Linked DNA regions of Saccharomyces cerevisiae S288C. Changing the gene in region 1 together with any one later gene gives a genetic interaction. Each region holds a gene or a part of one and is shown in the gene's direction. Other genes may lie near its edges.

What was found. A genetic interaction does not mean that the proteins touch.
Region 2: mutations in TMA22 (region 1) and JLP1 together harm fitness more than expected from each alone (negative genetic interaction), as found in Saccharomyces cerevisiae (2 studies listed by BioGRID).
Region 3: mutations in TMA22 (region 1) and RPS6B together harm fitness more than expected from each alone (negative genetic interaction), as found in Saccharomyces cerevisiae (2 studies listed by BioGRID).

Annotation. Positions count from the first base shown.
Region 1 is NC_001142.9:458,741-466,179, forward strand, and holds TMA22 (Tma22p), read left to right. Parts: upstream 1-3,088; coding exon 3,089-3,685; downstream 3,686-7,439. Other genes in the region: CAL4 (Cal4p), read right to left, coding at 1-686; YJR012C (uncharacterized protein), read right to left, coding at 1,055-1,453; GPI14 (glycosylphosphatidylinositol-alpha 1,4 mannosyltransferase I), read left to right, coding at 1,642-2,853; YJR015W (uncharacterized protein), read left to right, coding at 3,981-5,513; dihydroxy-acid dehydratase ILV3, read right to left, coding at 5,711-7,439.
Region 2 is NC_001144.5:23,039-28,755, reverse strand, and holds JLP1 (sulfonate dioxygenase), read left to right. Parts: upstream 1-1,761; coding exon 1,762-3,000; downstream 3,001-5,717. Other genes in the region: YLL056C (uncharacterized protein), read left to right, coding at 451-1,347; HSU1 (cystathionine gamma-synthase), read right to left, coding at 3,460-5,187. UniProt on the Saccharomyces cerevisiae protein: Acts as an alpha-ketoglutarate-dependent dioxygenase active on sulfonates. Although taurine is a poor substrate, a variety of other sulfonates are utilized, with the best natural substrates being isethionate and taurocholate.
Region 3 is NC_001134.8:588,995-594,587, reverse strand, and holds RPS6B (40S ribosomal protein eS6 RPS6B), read left to right. Parts: upstream 1-1,813; coding exon 1,814-1,819; intron 1,820-2,171; coding exon 2,172-2,876; downstream 2,877-5,593. Other genes in the region: SMP1 (Smp1p), read left to right, coding at 1-1,082; DTR1 (Dtr1p), read right to left, coding at 3,129-4,847; FZO1 (mitofusin), read left to right, coding at 5,474-5,593.

The DNA of each region.
Region 1 (7,439 bases):
TTTCTATATATATTAATCAGGCCCTTATCCTTAGAGAGCTCGTTAAATAGTTTACAATTCAAAAGATCTAACTGAAACTTCCAAATGGGTAACAATTCATTCTGTAACACATTAACTAAGATCTTCATCTGTAAATCGTTCATCTGTGACTGTTGTTTACTCATAGGGATCTTGTTCAAAAATTTGTAGAGATTAACGAATCCTGATAAACAATTTTGCATTTGTAATATAAATTCATCTTTAAAATCGACATTTAATCTGTTTAATTCCTGGAAAATATACCTGTTCACTCCATAAATGGAGGTGACTAGAACCTTCTCGATCAAATGCCGGCATTTTCCAGGAGTTTCAAAGTGATCTAACTCACAACTATCCAATAATAAGCGGAATCCTGTCCTTAAATCGTAAATTAGTTCACAAATATCACTCTTTAGTGCAAGGAGTTCTTTTTTGTGTGAAATAAATGTGCCAGAATGGTTTAATACTTCGTCTTCCTGCTTTTGAGCCAGATAATACAAGACATACATTAGATCCGTCATATAATGTGAAGTATTCAGAATAAACGGCACTATTTGATTCAGCAGTATAACATTTTTCTTGTTGTTTTCGGATATTCCGTCATTGAGCAAAAGTTTGGTTTGTAAAGACGAAACTGTACTTTCATTAGATTCTCGTGTTTCACTCATACGCCTTTATATGCTATCACAGTTACCTTATTTGTCCTTTTTCTTGTAGAGCTATTCTCTATTCTGCTTTGACTTAACTAGCGTGAAATTAAAACCAACGCCGCTTATCTAATCACAATAAAAGATCAGACTGTGAAATTAATAAAAAGGAAAGGATAAAACGACAGATATCGCACTAACTTTGTTAGAAACATTATGCAGACAAAAGAAGGAGATGCATGTGCCTTTGTATTCTTTTAAACGCAAAAAGGGCAGGTCTATGATTAAGTATGAATGAGCGATATAAAATTTAAGTAGAAAAGGGAAGATAATAGTACTATATATAAATATATAAATGCATTTTTTTACATACCTGTTGGGTGAATAATTTACCTAGCTGTTGGATTTGCTGTTACTGTATTATTGTCGTCATCATTGCCATCGCCTTTATTGTTATCATTGTTATTGTCATCATTATCGTTGTCACTGTCATTAATCTGTAACTTAGACTGTATATCGTAACATTCAGACAGCCTTGTTAATGAGGTCATGCCTTCTAGGCTTTCTTGATCAATGTCCAGAGATATATTGGGTTTGTCTAATGATCCTTGATGAGATTGATGCTGCAGCTGACCTTCCCAAGGCCTAGGTCTTGGCCTCAATGAAGGAGTACTAGCTAAACCCTCATCCAGCGTAACATTGGGCACCTCCACAATATTAGGTATAGGCTTGTTATTCAGAATGTGATCCAGCAACTCTTCATAACTAAGTTCACCACCTGCTGCCATGCTTGACTCGTTATGTTCGCAATCAATTTTCAAGAGGTAAACCGAAACATGTGGAGCTCTTTTACAGGCTCCGATAATAATAAAAGAAACTTTAATAGTTGGTAAGAACTTGACAAAAAAAAACACAATATATATACATAAAAAAGTCAACAACTGACAAGCAAGGTAAAAGGTGATAAAGTTGAAAGATGACTGGCGAAGAATGGGGCTTGACTGTACTGTCATTCTTGGTAAGAGTCGGATTTTTTCTTTTTGGCATTTACCAGGACGCTAATTTCAAAGTGAGGTACACTGATATCGACTATTTTGTGTTTCATGATGCTGCTAAATATGTATACGAAGGCAAATCACCTTATGCAAGGGATACATATCGTTACACACCGCTACTAAGTTGGCTGCTAGTGCCTAATCATTATTTTGGATGGTTTCATTTGGGGAAGGTCATATTTGTTATTTTCGATTTGGTTACTGGGCTCATTATAATGAAGCTTTTGAACCAGGCCATCTCCAGAAAAAGAGCTTTAATATTGGAAAGCATTTGGCTATTGAATCCGATGGTTATCACCATCAGTACAAGGGGAAACGCTGAAAGCGTGCTTTGCTGTTTGATCATGTTCACGCTTTTTTTTCTACAAAAGAGTAGATACACCCTAGCTGGAATCTTATATGGTCTTTCTATCCATTTCAAAATATATCCAATCATATATTGTATCCCAATAGCAATTTTTATATACTACAATAAAAGAAACCAGGGTCCACGAACACAACTTACATCGCTACTCAATATCGGTTTGAGTACTCTAACAACTTTGCTTGGATGTGGTTGGGCAATGTACAAGATATACGGATACGAGTTTCTGGATCAGGCATACTTGTACCACTTATACAGAACGGATCACAGACACAATTTTTCAGTGTGGAACATGCTATTGTATTTAGATTCTGCAAATAAGGAAAATGGTGAGTCCAATCTCTCAAGGTACGCATTTGTGCCTCAATTGCTGCTTGTTTTAGTAACTGGATGTCTTGAATGGTGGAATCCCACATTCGATAACCTATTGAGGGTTTTATTTGTGCAGACGTTCGCATTTGTGACATATAATAAAGTGTGCACATCGCAATATTTTGTTTGGTACCTGATCTTTCTACCATTTTACCTCTCAAGAACGCACATTGGTTGGAAGAAGGGGCTTTTAATGGCCACGCTTTGGGTAGGAACGCAGGGAATTTGGTTAAGCCAAGGTTACTATTTGGAATTCGAAGGCAAGAATGTATTCTATCCTGGACTATTTATTGCAAGCGTGTTATTTTTCGTCACCAATGTGTGGCTACTGGGTCAATTTATTACTGATATTAAGATACCGACGCAACCCACAGTTTCCAACAAAAAGAACAACTGACTGACGTGAACTTGCACCATGTACATCAATTCTATAAATCTACTCATATAATGAATGTGTAAATATGAAAAAAAAAATGCAAAAGCGCACCACCAAAAGAGAAAAAAGCTGAAAAAAAAAAGGAAAAAGATACTTGATGTGATGTGTGAGTGAAAAAATTATTAATTCCTACTGGATAAAATCACCCCAAGGAAACAGTTCAAGAGCTAAACTAAAGAAAAGCATATTGCATAAAATGTTAAGAGAAGTCATCTATTGTGGAATTTGCTCCTACCCACCAGAGTACTGCGAGTTTTCAGGAAAATTAAAGCGTTGTAAAGTTTGGTTATCTGAAAACCACGCAGACCTTTATGCAAAGCTATACGGTACTGACGATAATACGCAAGAGGTGGAAGCCGTGACCAACAAACTGGCTGAATCCAGTATTGGCGAAGCTAGAGAGGAAAAGTTGGAAAAGGACTTGCTGAAAATTCAAAAAAAACAGGAAAACAGGGAACAAAGAGAATTAGCTAAGAAGCTGTCATCGAAAGTGATCATTAAAAGAGAAGCTAGGACCAAGAGAAAGTTTATCGTCGCTATCTCTGGGCTGGAAGTTTTCGACATCGACATGAAAAAGCTAGCCAAGACATTTGCGTCTAGGTTCGCCACAGGGTGCTCAGTCTCGAAAAATGCAGAGAAAAAAGAAGAAGTTGTCATTCAAGGTGACGTGATGGATGAAGTGGAAACTTACATACATTCCTTGCTGGAAGAAAAAGGCCTAAAGGACGTCAAAGTGGAAACCATCGATGCTAAGAAGAAGAAAAAGCCTGCTGCAGAAGGAGCTGCCAAGTAAGCAATCCATAAATATGTAATAGCACCGTTCTGGGAGAAAAGGACTTTTTACTTGGTAACCAGGCGTGTAGGTTAGATAGTCAAACCCTATATCGTTCTTGAGATCGTCGCTCATATATACTGTGCAGCCGGCCCTCGTGCGCCTGCGCCGTTCCTTCTCTGAAACCTTCGTAGTAGGACAATAAATATAGTCCCCATTGCCTATTCAAATTATTTGCAACCGAAAAACTGCAAAATTTGTTGTTGACCATAGGCGTACAAAACACAACTCAATCCAGCCGTAAGTAAGTATAGTTATGACTTCATCTCTAGATGATATAGAACCAACAGCATATAATAATATGGAAGCGGACGAGGAATATTGCAGACGCAACGATATACATGACCTTTCCAGCGTGGTCGGTGATGCTGTCTCACAAGGTGTGCCAGACATGGATGGTCAAACAACGGATTCTTCGAAGGACCCTGAGCCAAATTCCGAGGATAAGAAAGCGTTTCCTCCTTCGAGTGGCTCATTTTTTTCTCCTAATCTACAGGGTCAAAGGAAGAAAGTTCTTTTAAAGTTTGTTTTCACAAATTGCTTACTGGCCATAATTTGCTTTACAATGTTTGTGTTGTTCTGGGGGGCTCTTTACGACACCAGCAAGTATCTACACAAAGTTAAGCTTCTGGTTGTTATCCAGGAACCCCCTGTGGTAATTTTGGATAATAACAGTTCCATGGTAGTGCCCTCCATATCGTATGCTTTGCCTACTTTTATCAATAAAATACCATGTGATTGGGATATTTATAACAGTCCTACCTTCCAGGCCAAGTTCGACGTAAATACGCCACAGCAAGTCAATGACAAGGTTGTCGATTTGGTTTACGACGAAAAATACTGGTTTGCCATTAATATCAAGCCAAACGCCACGGAGACTCTATTTGAATCACTAATCAACGATACCGCACCACTATTCAATTCTACGCTGTTTAATCAGGTGGTATATGAAACTGGTAGAGACCCGACAAACCTAAAATCAACGATTTTACCGGTTGCTCAGACCATTGAAGAGTACTACCATACATTCTACACACTAAATTATCTGCCGCCGTTATTGACAAACATAACCCAGGTATATCGTTATGCACTAACTAACAATGCAAGGTATATCGCTGCAGCAGGTAAATATAACTACGAATACTATGACCACAGACCATTCACAGACCGTATTCTACTGGCACCCACACAAATCGGTGTTGTTTACTGTTTACTGCTAACTTTTTTCCAATTTCTATTGTACGGCCCATTACACGTAGAAATGGCAAAAGTGCTAAGACCAGCCAACGGTTTAATTTACCGTATCGCTATGTCATGGTTCACCTTTTTCTTTGCGTCTTTGTTCTTCTGCACAACAACCGCCATCTTTCAAGTCGATTTTACCAAGTCCTTTGGTAGAGGTGGCTTCGTCGTATATTGGATGTCTACGTGGCTCTTCATGCTTGCTGCGGGAGGAGCTAACGAAAATGCGGTTATGCTTGTTATTACGTTAGGACCCCAGTATCTCGGGTTCTGGATCCTATCATTTGTCATTCTCAATATTGCACCTTCTTTCTTCCCATTAGCGCTAAACAATAATGTTTATAGATATGGGTACATGATGCCCGTTCACAACGTCATCGATATCTACAGGGTTATTTTTTTTGACGTGACAAGACGCAAGATGGGTCGGAATTATGGTATTTTAGTCGCACTCATTGCCTTGAATACGGCACTGTTACCATTTGTTGGCAAGTATGCTAGTAGAAAACTAAAACAGAAGGCTTTAGTGGCAGCAAAGCAGAGTTAATTTCGTAGATTATAATTAAGGCGACTTTTCAAATAAAAAAATACTGATCGTTGTTTTTTTTTAAATAAATGTTTATCCATTCAATGGACTATAATAAATATTTATATATATATATATATGAAAAGATTGCGAACAAAAAAGATGATGGAAAAGGAGAATCTCTATATATATATTCATCGATTGGGGCCTATAATGCATCAAGCATCTAAAACACAACCGTTGGAAGCGTTGGAAACCAACTTAGCATACTTGGATAGAGTACCTCTTGTGTAACGAGGTGGAGGTGCAACCCAACTTTGTTTACGTTGAGCCATTTCCTTATCAGAGACTAATAGGTCAATCTTGTTATTATCAGCATCAATGATAATCTCATCGCCGTCTCTGACCAACCCGATAGGACCACCTTCAGCGGCTTCGGGAACAATGTGGCCGATTAAGAACCCGTGAGAACCACCAGAGAATCTACCATCAGTCAACAATGCAACATCTTTACCCAAACCGTAACCCATCAGAGCAGAGGAAGGCTTTAGCATTTCAGGCATACCTGGTGCACCTCTTGGACCTTCATATCTGATAACAACAACGGTTTTTTCACCCTTCTTGATTTCACCTCTTTCCAAGGCTTCAATAAAGGCACCTTCCTCTTCGAACACACGTGCTCTACCCTTGAAGTAAGTACCTTCCTTACCGGTAATTTTACCCACAGCTCCACCTGGTGCCAATGAACCGTACAGAATTTGCAAGTGACCGTTGGCCTTGATTGGGTGGGAGAGTGGCTTAATAATCTCTTGTCCTTCAGGTAGGCTTGGTGCTTTCTTTGCACGTTCTGCCAAAGTGTCACCGGTAACAGTCATTGTGTTACCGTGCAACATGTTGTTTTCATATAGATACTTAATCACAGATTGGGTACCACCAACGTTAATCAAATCGGCCATGACGTATTTACCAGAAGGTTTGAAGTCACCGATCAATGGTGTAGTATCACTGATTCTTTGGAAATCATCTGGTGACAACTTGACACCCGCAGAGTGAGCAACAGCCACCAAATGCAAAACAGCATTAGTGGACCCACCGGTTGCAACGACATAAGTAATGGCGTTTTCAAAAGCCTCTTTTGTGAGGATATCACGAGGTAAAATACCCAATTCCATTGTCTTCTTGATGTATTCACCAATGTTGTCACACTCAGCTAACTTCTCCTTGGAAACGGCTGGGAAGGAAGAGGAGTTTGGAATGGTCAAACCTAGCACTTCAGCGGCAGAAGCCATTGTGTTGGCAGTATACATACCACCACAAGAACCAGGACCTGGGCATGCATGTTCCACAACATCTTCTCTTTCTTCTTCAGTGAATTGCTTGGAAATATATTCACCGTAGGATTGGAACGCAGAGACGATATCGATGTTTTTAGAGATCTTCGAAGAACCACATGTTGGATGACCGGGCAAGATAGTACCACCATATACCATGATGGAAGGTCTGTTATGTCTACCCATGGCCATCATGACACCGGGCATGTTTTTGTCACATGATGGGATGGCGATGTTAGCATCGTAGTGTTGTGCCATCATGATGGTTTCAAAGGAGTCTGCAATGATTTCTCTACTTTGTAACGAGTATCTCATACCTTTAGTACCCATAGAGATACCGTCTGAAACACCGATGGTGTTGAACTGCATAGCTTTCAAACCCGCTTTTTCAATGGATTGAGAACATCTGTTATTCAAGTCCAATAGATGCATGTTACATGGGTTACCGGACCACCAACAGGAACCAACCCCGACTTGAGGCTTCTTGAAATCTTCCTTCTTGAAACCGGTGGCATAAAGCATGGCCTGGGACGCACCTTGGCCCTTAGGTTCAGTGATGATATACGAGTACTTGTTGAGCTTCTTTGCAACGCATCTCGTTGTAGAGAATTGTCTA
Region 2 (5,717 bases), on another chromosome or scaffold:
GAAATGCAATACTCTTATGCTGCGCCAATGACGGTAGCACTAGGGTATTGTGACGTTATGCAAAAAGAGAGAGAAAGAACAATATGAAAATAGAGAGGACGGACATAAGTCTTCCGTGGAAGAAAGAAACCATCGTTTTTGCAGATGAGATTCTTTTTCCAATGCGGAAATTAGCGGAACTTCTCAACATAATAGATTGTGCTGGAAAAAGTTTAAAGGGAAAGCCGCGGATTTAATTTGCCATTAGTTCTTGGCTTTCCTGAAGATATGATTACTAACACAAGGATATTAAGGAAAAAAAGTAGGCGATGAAGACCCTCAAGTACTCAACTAACGTATAAATAACGGCTCCCGCTTCTATCAACTATGCTTACAATCACTCTTGTATTCATAAGCGCTAAGGCGTGATAACTCAACTTTTACAAAAGAAAATAAAAAAGAGATCAAAAAATGAAAGTATTTATAACTGGTGCTTCTGGCTTCATTGGTTCTGCCGTATTATCTGAACTAATATCCTCGGGTCATGAAGTTGTTGGCTTGGCAAGGTCAGACGAGGCTGCTGCAAAGATTAAGTCGATTGATCCTGCTGCAAAAATCCTTCGCGGTGATCTCAAGGATCTGGAAATTTTGAAAAAAGGTGCCACTGAATCTGATGGCGTTATTCATTTAGGATTTGTGCATGATTTTAAAAATTTTGAACAGTGCTGCGAAATTGACCGTCAGGCCACTGTAGCTATGCTAGAGTCACTTAAAGGTTCTAACAAGCCTTTCTTATATACGAATGGTACACTTTCTTTGCGACCAAACAAAGTTGCTAACGAACAGGATGGTATTGATGAAGATTCCAAAATTTTGCGTGCTGTCACTGAACAGGTTGCCTTGAGTTACAAAGACAAAGGTGTTTCAGCAAGAATTGTCAGACTCCCATTCTCGGTTCATGGCAAGGGGGACAAGGCTTTTGTACCAATATTAATGAATATTGCCAAAGCTGCCGGAAAATCTGGCTATGTCGGACAAGGCACAAACGCTTGGGCGGCTGTACATCGTTTGGATACGGCTCCTCTGTTCAGACTTGTTTTAGAGAAAGGAAAAACAGGACAAGTGTATCATTGCGTTGGTGAACAAGGTATACCATTCAAAGATATTGCGCGTGTGATTGGAGAAATTTTGAATGTTCCCGTGGCCTCTATCCCTGTTGATGACGCGGAAAGTCATTTTGGCTTCCTCACTTGTTTTGTCACTAGAGATGGCCCAGTTTCAAGCGAAGGTACCAGAAAAGAGCTGGGATGGCAGCCACAACAAATCGGTCTTCTTGAAGATATCCGTGCGAACTATAGCTTAAACTGACTTGAAGCTTATATTATGCGTTTTTTCTAAGAGCGCCATAGCATGTAACGTTTTTTACATACTAGTTAGCTTTATCTATATAGTCTACTGTGCAGCTTAAAATACCCAACTCATGCGTCTCATTGGACGAGCTCTTGGCCCTTGGAAAGGTGCTATATTAGTATATAGGGGAATGATGACAAAAGCCTCAATGTGGCTTGAGTCGATTTCTTATTTGGCGCCACAGGGCACATGGAGTTTATTTATCATACTACTAACATAAAGAAGGTATGTAGGCAATACAACAAGAATGCTGGAAAAGTTAAGGAGTCAGTAACAGTTCTTGATGACAGAAACATATAAAAAGGTGTACTATTGCTGTATAATCGGCCCTTTCATACTTGTACAAACATAGCACAGTAACCCAGTTAAAATATGTCTCCTGCAGCAGCTCAAACAGCAATCCCTCTTCCATCTACCGATTTACCAGTCAAAATCATTACAAATGGGTTGAAAAACCTGAATTATACCTCCAAGCAAGGTTACGGGAATTTTGATACCCATTTTTATGATGGCCAAGATGAGGTCTCTCCATCTGGTTTATTGAAAATCCGTAAATCTTATAGAGAGAAATCGAAGTATCCAGATTATTTGCCTACATGGGATCCTACTGAAAAGTATGGCCCGCTGGAATTTCACGAATACCATGATCCTGCTTTGAGAGCTGACGGTAACTTTTCAAACCTTTTTGCAAAAGAAAACGTTGGTCAACTAAAGGTGAAGAAGATCACCCCGAAATTAGGTCTCGAGATCAATGGGATCCAGCTAACTGATCTTTCTGATGCTGCAAAAGATGAACTCGCTTTGCTTGTCGCCCAAAAGGGAGTAGTTGTCTTTAGAAATCAGAATTTTGCTGACGAGGGACCCGATTATGTGACTGAATACGGAAGACATTTTGGCAAGTTGCACATTCATCAAACTAGTGGCCACCCTCAAAACAATCCTGAGCTGCATATCACTTTCCGAAGACCTGATGCGGAAGAATTTGCAAGAGTTTTTGATGACTCGACATCATCTGGTGGCTGGCACACAGACGTCTCTTACGAGTTACAGCCACCTTCTTATACTTTCTTTAGTGTTGTTGAAGGTCCTGATGGTGGTGGAGATACGTTATTTGCGGATACGATCGAGGCTTTCGACAGGTTGTCGAAGCCTTTGCAAGATTTCTTGAGCACGCTTCATGTCATCCATAGCTCAAAGGAACAGGCAGAGAATTCACAGCGCCAGGGCGGCATAAAAAGAAGAGCACCTGTCACGCATATTCATCCACTGGTCAGAGTTCATCCTGTCTTGAAAAAGAAATGCTTGTATGTCAATCGTGCATTTTCTAGGAAAATAGTCGAATTGAAAAGACAAGAATCTGAATCACTTTTGAATTTCTTGTACAATCTAGTGGAGAGCAGCCATGATTTACAGTTAAGAGCCAAATGGGAACCTCATTCCGTCGTCATTTGGGATAACCGCAGAGTTCAACATTCAGCAGTGATTGATTGGGAAGAACCAATTCACAGACATGCGTTCAGGATTACTCCACAAGCGGAAAGGCCCGTGGAAGATCTAAAGTTTTTGAATGATGAAAATTATTATCCTTCTTCATTAACTTTGGATATTTGAATTTCAAAGATGCAGGTTGTATATAGCCGGAATTCGTTGCAGAGGCAGTTCCAACGTTGCTCAACTTATTCTTTTTTTTGGTTAAAATTGTGTATAAACCTTAAAATAGCGGCGACAACACTTCTTTTTTATAGTTTATAGTAAACCCCAACCTGTGTACATATAAACTAAAGAAAAACTGTGACGCTTTTATTCTGGTAAAGAAACTCTGAAGTTACAGATCAACTAATTCAGAGCGATATAATGTTGAAGTCAATAAGAAGGAACATCTTCAGTTTATAAACAACTAGTGATCTTATGAGCTCTGTCTACTTTCATTAATTAAGATCCATGTGAAGGTTCCAGAAAAGACTTCCTCCAAAAAAATTATATGCTAGAATGGAAAAAAACTTTTATAAACAATATTCTATAAAGATTATAAAGAATTCTTGATTTTTGATATTCTACTCATGATCTGCTTCATGAGTGTTTGGAGCCTCTGCTTTTCACAACATCTAAAGCACTTGAAAAAACTTTCAATAACCACTGGATATCTTCTAAACCTACGCTTACTCTAATAATGTTGGGGTCGGCCCCAAACTTGGAAACTTCTTCTAATTCTGAGTGGTGCGCCAGATGGACATATGGACATGCTAAGGTAAAGTTAGTACCATTAGAAGGTCCCTTGAATACCTTTAAAGAGTCATAGAATGCTTTTGCATCGCCCTCATTGAAAAAGGCTACAGAGAACAAGCATCCATAGCCACCACGTTCATTACGTACACTTTCGTAGTTCTCAAAGGTCTCCTTAGAAGTAACAGTTGGATAATAAATCTTTTTGCATATTTTCCCCTCCTCGGGTAAAAGCAAATCATTCAACAATATTCCTGTGTTTGCATTAGCACGTAAAGTTCTATCTTCAAAATCCCTGGAATTACGTTCTAAAACTATCGCATCTTCACACCATAACAAATCCTCGAAATTAGCGCTCCTGAAGTACTCACGAGCATATGGATACAGAGATGATTTCGGATTTAAAACGACAGAGCCGCCCATTACATTACTAGCACCATTGAAAAGCTTAGTCAGGGACGTGCTGACTATATCAGCATAGGGCAAGATGTCAACGTTAAGGCCCCCAATAGTATCATCAATTACAATAAAAAAGCCATACTGGTCGGCCAAACTCCTCAATTTTTTCAAATCCGGCATATTCAGCAGAGGATTTGAAGGTGTCTCGACGAAAACGGCAAGAATGCGTTGTTTGCTTGTTTCTAAAAACTTTTGTAATTCGACAACGTCTCTAGAATTTCCAAATCCAAAAAATTTACATTTTCCAAATTTAGTCATAATGACCTGCGTATCTTTGAAAGGGAAGCCGAAGATGCCAACAGTGTCACATAATAATGGCTTTTTCTTTTGGTCAGAGGTGGTCTTGTTTAATGAATCTCCTGAATTCTTCTTCTCCTCCCAAAAGGTGAGTAAATTACGAGCCGTAGATATTGCAGACATGCCACTTGATACAAGATAAACGTCTTCATTTGGGTTGAGGTTGAGTCCCTCCCAATTCGGGGTTTTCTTCTCCAAACCAAAGGGCCTGAAGCGATTCTCAACTATCCTTCCCTTTATCAGGTTCTTTGCTTTCTCCTCCCCCTTCTTTGCTGCAAAAACACCAGCCTCTAGCTCACGCAATACCTGCTCTGAGCCATGATTAGCGCAGTCAAGAAGTTGGTTGACAGACAACGCCAATCGACTAGATACACATTCACCTCTTAATTTCCAATACTCTTTCACAGTCTCGAACTCTTCCTCCGATGCAAGGACAGCAGCAATGGTTAGCACCAATTCCGCCGGTTCTTTCGACGTTTTTGCCCCACGGTTTTTAATCGTAACTGTTTCCACTTCAAGGTGAGCTTTACTTTCAGGTCCTGAGACAGATTTTACGTACTCGAAACACTTTAAACCCAGGTTAACGGATGGAAAAGGACGACAGTTTTCTGAACCTCGCCCAAATTTCTTAACAAAGTAAGCACAAAGCCTCTGGACGGGGGGTTGAGGAAAGTACCTCGGATATCCTGTAGCCATTTTGCCTATTACCTCTGGCACCTTTTCCGCATAGCCTATTGCCGAATCCCATGTAGGAATGCCAAAAGAAACAGCATAGTCTAGATTGCTGGGAAGGGGTTGCCCAAATTCAATTTCCGTCATAATAATTTCCACGATGATTAATAGTTGTTCAGTGGTGGTTGAGTACTAGATTTAAAATTTATGTTTTACCGCACCAGAGAAGAATCACTCAATGCTGGAATTGATGAATTGCATCTTGACAATAGGCATTAATATACTTTTTCAAACACATCATTGTAGTGTGCGGCATAACAACCGTGGCGCGTGTCAAGGACTTCTCGGAACACATGCTAAAGCTCCAGTCTCTATCCGTCTATTCTTTAATTTGCTCGTTTAAGAAAGAATAAAATGCCGTATACAGTTATTTCTTCCGTAAATAAATCTTCTTCAACATCCTTTCTTGAGAGCAGCCACACAAATCTAGAGGTGTCTGACTTAATGCAACACAAGGTCAATCTGAATTCAAAGCTGTGGCTGCATATTCATTAAACATATCTTTGAAGGATATCATTTTAGGTATTGCATTGAGTGGGCTTTTGAATCAAAGCCTAAAATGGGAGTATTATGAAAGCAGAGTAAAAATGTTCAGCACGTTGATCTTGAAAGCAGAC
Region 3 (5,593 bases), on another chromosome or scaffold:
GTGTTGTTCTGAATGAAAGGAAGCGCAGGCGAAGAAGAGCAACCGTGTTGCAACCAGCTTCCCATTCTGGGAGTTGTACAGTTTCGAGTCAAGATTCCTCCAGTGTACAAAACAATGGGAATTTAAGCGCTCCGTTGGCGTCAAATGACGCCGGGAACGCTGGTGTAAGTACACCATTGGTGCATTGCCACGGAGCAATATCACGTAGCGGATCCAATCATTCTGACTGTGCAAGAAATAGTGCAGATTATCAAATGTTGCAAGGCGGTTTAAATTCTGGTGGGAGTTTTCATGCTAATGATTATAAAGAAAGCGTAGACCAACAGCATGTTGCAAACGAGGCTATTCATAGGAATTTTATGAACAAGAGGATTAGGCCGGATACTCATTTACTACTTTCTGAATCTAACCACTCTAATTATCATAATTTTTACCCGTCGCCTTACGAGAATTTGCCAAAGCCTTCATTGCCTGCAAGTTTAGTGGGCAATATTCCATCCTTTCAATCGCAATTTGTACAGGTTATTCCGGCAAATAGTAACCCAATGGGAAAAGGATTTAATGGGACGGGTGACAGCGAGAGCTTTGAAGCAAAGCAAAAGATACACCCGACAGTTGCTATATCAAATACTTTGGAAGGTCCAGCTCCAGTGCAGGCGATGGTCCATCACCTGCACCAACTGAACAGCAATAGAGGAAAGCTCTCAGGGAAGCCATATTTAAAGCTAAATATTCCGAAGGCCACAAATGACGCTTGCCAGAGGTCGCCAGCAATGTATTCAGGAACCGCATCACCGAAAACGGATGTACAAGCCACTCCCAATCAAATGCTCGCCAGCAACATGTCCTCCCCTCTTTCTCGTTCAAAGTTTTTGGGATTCAAGAACAATGATATGGACGACTTATATCATAATGGCCGATGTGGCAGCACTTATGTAAATAACAAAACATTCTTTCTGAAACCGCCAATTGGAAGACCGCCTAAATTTCCGAAAAGCCCGTCTTCATCTATTGTGGTTTTTCCTTCCTCGGTAGCTAGTTCAACTTTGAAATCCACGAGTTCGACAAACTCTCCAGATTAATGAATCGCTTTCTAGCTACTTTTTACTACAAGAAAGCATTCGCTTAAAATTAAGAGTGTATGTTGGCGCATTTAGGCAAACGTCTTCTAAATTAGGGCTATAGACAATTATGTCGCTCGTACATTTTTCAGATGTAGTGACGCAAATTTCTAGCAATTTGCAGGTAGTGCTCCACGGCCCCCTTCCAATTTTTGTGCACTCAATCGATCAAAACAATAGAGACTGCCCTGTTAACTTCTCAACATAATTATGTAAAAAATTATCTCATTAAGCCAGATAGCAAATATATCACATATTGCATTGATTAATTTGAGAAAAATATACATGTATCTTTTCAGTTAATTTTATTAAAAATAAATTATTTCCTTACTTTTTTTTCTACAGTTTGCACCATTAACCTCTTTTCTTGCATCCATACATCTTTGAACTCCATACATCTTATTTTTTTGCTGTTTTTTTTCAGTGTCTCGGGCATACAGGCCGCTTATCTTCATGCCGGCCCATCATCCTAGGAAACTCTTTCGGTATGGGCCAAGGGCAGGCGAAAATCCTATGTGCGTGGAGCTGATACAATCTCGGCTGGCTTGGTTTGTAGGGCACGGTCAATGAATGCCTGATGGGAGAAAAATTCATCTTTATGAAAAGTGATCTTAATTTGAATAGTGTGCCCTTCAAAACATTTGGAAGTCATTAATTGAAACTATCCAGTGTGAATAGACGACTGAGCCATCATGAAGGTATGTAATATCACCCAAATCCTTAGAATTCTAATGAATCAGCACGCGCTAACCGGCTGTTTCTGACTGTTTGATAAACGTATACCCACAAATTAGTGCACTATAATAAAAATTCTCAAGAACAACGTTGTTTAAACGAGATAATTCCCTCTAATATACACGTACCGACACTTAGGAAAATATCTCGCTAAGTTCAAATTAAGGAATGAAAAAGGAATTTACGAAAAGGGTTTAGAAATATCAATGAAAATAAGAAAAACCTGTAACGGAAGAAAGGACAGCAGGGATTCGTTGGAATTTGTCGATATTGGCTTCGGACAACTTTACTAACAAATGGTATTATTTATAACAGTTGAACATTTCTTACCCAGTCAACGGGTCTCAAAAGACCTTCGAAATTGATGATGAACACCGTATTCGTGTTTTCTTCGACAAGAGAATCGGTCAAGAAGTCGATGGTGAAGCCGTTGGTGATGAATTCAAGGGCTACGTCTTCAAGATCTCTGGTGGTAACGACAAACAAGGTTTCCCAATGAAGCAAGGTGTTTTGTTGCCAACTAGAATCAAGTTGTTGTTGACCAAGAACGTTTCTTGTTACAGACCAAGACGTGATGGTGAAAGAAAGAGAAAGTCCGTCAGAGGTGCCATTGTTGGTCCAGATTTGGCTGTCTTGGCTTTGGTCATTGTCAAGAAGGGTGAACAAGAATTGGAAGGTCTAACTGACACTACTGTTCCAAAGAGATTGGGTCCAAAGAGAGCTAACAACATCAGAAAGTTCTTCGGTTTGTCCAAGGAAGATGACGTTCGTGATTTCGTCATCAGAAGAGAAGTCACCAAGGGTGAAAAGACTTACACCAAGGCTCCAAAGATCCAAAGATTGGTTACTCCTCAAAGATTGCAAAGAAAGAGACACCAAAGAGCTTTGAAGGTCAGAAACGCTCAAGCTCAAAGAGAAGCTGCTGCCGAATACGCTCAATTGTTGGCTAAGAGATTGTCTGAAAGAAAGGCTGAAAAGGCCGAAATCAGAAAGAGAAGAGCTTCTTCTTTGAAGGCTTAAGTATGTCTTGGACCTGCATAATTTTTATACTTTTTCCTTTTAGATATATGTACTTTTGGCTTAATTTAATATAATTAACTATAACTTCGATTTTATTCTTTGAAGGTCCAAATGCACGTAATTCATAAACTTATGATGCATTGTTCTATTTCTTGAAGTCCTTGGGATGAGTGATGAGAAAATTTTCTTGAAAGTTAAATAATATAATAAAATTCTAAAAGTTAAATTTTATAGCTAAACATAAACTATTTCTTAAAATTCTTTGGCAGTATATTTTCTTTGAAAAATGAGAAGATATAATATACCAATCAATGAAATTGAACTGCAGAGACCGAGCCCTGTAAAACACCATCCAATTCCCATTGCGTTACAGAGCTGTAAAATGATAGCGGAACTAATGGCAGCGCCCACATTTCGAAAGAAACTACTAACAGCAACAGTTCCAGCAGCTCTTTTGGGGAATAACTCAGTTAAATATGTCATTGATGTGTTGCTGCACCAGGTCATACCAAAGGCAGTGAGAGCGGAAAAAACTAAAAGAACCACAAAATGATAATGAAAGAAGATTGCCCATCCGTATCCTATTGTGCCACATATTGTTAGTAAAATTCCAATTAGGTTCAGTAATAAACGAAACTCTGCCGGGAATTTCTTTTTAGGATGACTTTTGATCCAGCGTGAACGAAGATAATCTGAGAGGTGCCCACCAGATTGAGATCCTAGTAACATAGCTACACCTGGGCAGACATAAGCAGCACCAATTTCTAACATAGTAAAACGGTAGTCATGTTCAAGGTAATACGAAAACGTGACGCTGAACGCATAGTAACTGGAGAACAGGAGTGCAGTACTGACGGACGTGATTATTATTGGAGGACATTTAATCATTTTCCAATATAGTGTCAAACCTGCTTTAGGCGGCTTTGGAAAATTTTCTTGGAAGAAAGCATCATTATTGACTGGTTTACGGATACCAATGTCTGGGAACAGACGCCGATGTGATATTTTATTACCTTCGAAGAATGGAGATTCGTTATTTTCACGTTCATCTTTTTTGTCACCCCATTTAGGGTCTCCATTACCAACTATACAACGTAGCGTTTCTGGAAGTAAAGCAGTAACCAAGATCAATGCTATTCCTGTCATGATAGAAGTGAAACCAAAAAGCCATCTCCAGTAATTTCCTTTCATTAAAATAAGCCCAGCAACAATGGGTGCTATAATAGGACCCATGTTTGGACCCATCATGAAATACGCTATGGCCTTTCCCCTGTGTTTTGGAGGAACAACGTCTGTTACAGTGCCAGCTCCCAGAGAAATCACAGAGCTGGAAGCGAAAGCTTGGAAAATTCTTAAAACAAAAAGGGCAGCAATATTGACTGGTACAGCGGCCAAAAGTATATTAACAATTAACATTAGTGATAACGACACCATATATAAGAATTTCCTTCCACCAAAATCCGCCAGTGCGCCCCAAAACAATGGACCAACGGAAAAAACAGCCATAAATACAGAAACTGTAGCGTTTATTGTTGTTGCACTTACATCATATTCCCTTTGCAGCAATGGTAAAGCCGGTATATATATGTTTCCAGACATTGGGCCCAAAAATCCTATAAAAATGATAATTCCAAAAATGATTAGTCTTTGATCCTTGGAAAAATAAGTATATGGAATATGTGCTTGAGTATCAGGAGAAGGGTCTCTTGACTGGGAGTTCGATGACTTTACAGCAACTTCCTCTTCTTTTGTTTTTGCTTTCTGTGCTGACAATGATGGGGAAGAGTCAGGGTGCTCATGAAAGACATCATGATCTATATTGGCTCTCTTTTGGTTCACCTGATCCCAGCTTTCATTAATTACATCATCTCCTAGATCTTCTAGCGAATGAAATGTTGAGCGGGTTGTTCCACTTTCTTGCGAATTAATTTGCAGACCCAAATTCTTTTTCTGAAACGGTTCGCTTCCCATTGCCTTAATTCTTTTCCCAGCTCTTGAAACTCTTTTTTGAAAAATTACCAACAACAACTTTTCTTACTACCATCCTTCTAGCCTTATCAATATTCTCATATATCTTAAAATTGCAATTGTTGTTACAAAGGAGTTTGTGTCGTTTTTCACCAGGTGACAGAATGTCTGGGTTGAAAGTATCAATGAAAAAAAAAAATGTAGAGAGATGCCAAAACAGTGGCCAACAGGCAGCTTTGGCTACGGAAATGATTTGGAAACCTGCATAAGTATTTCTCCGCGAAATTGGGAAGAGTGATATGGATAGTTGTGATCCACGGTATATAATTCCTTGTGATCCCTTATCTGGCAAGATAGCTATAGTATTACTAATACGTGGCGCTAGTATAATAACTCGCGCAAAGACCGAACGGAGATTAATATTTAAAAGTTGGTGCGCAGTCCGGGTAAATACAGCTTTTCATGCTGAAGAATATGGCCGGGCTAATATTAATTAAGACGGACGATGCATTATTGAAACAGGATAACGCAGGTTACAGTAGCCCTTAATAAATAAAGCAAAGTACATCCGAACATAGCAACATTATCTGATATCACGGATAGAGGCAAAACGGTAGGCTCATTTAACGATGTCTGAAGGAAAACAACAATTCAAAGACAGCAATAAACCGCACAAGGACTCCACAGATCAGGACGATGATGCCGCCACAATAGTACCACAAACTCTTACTTACTCACGCAACGAAGGT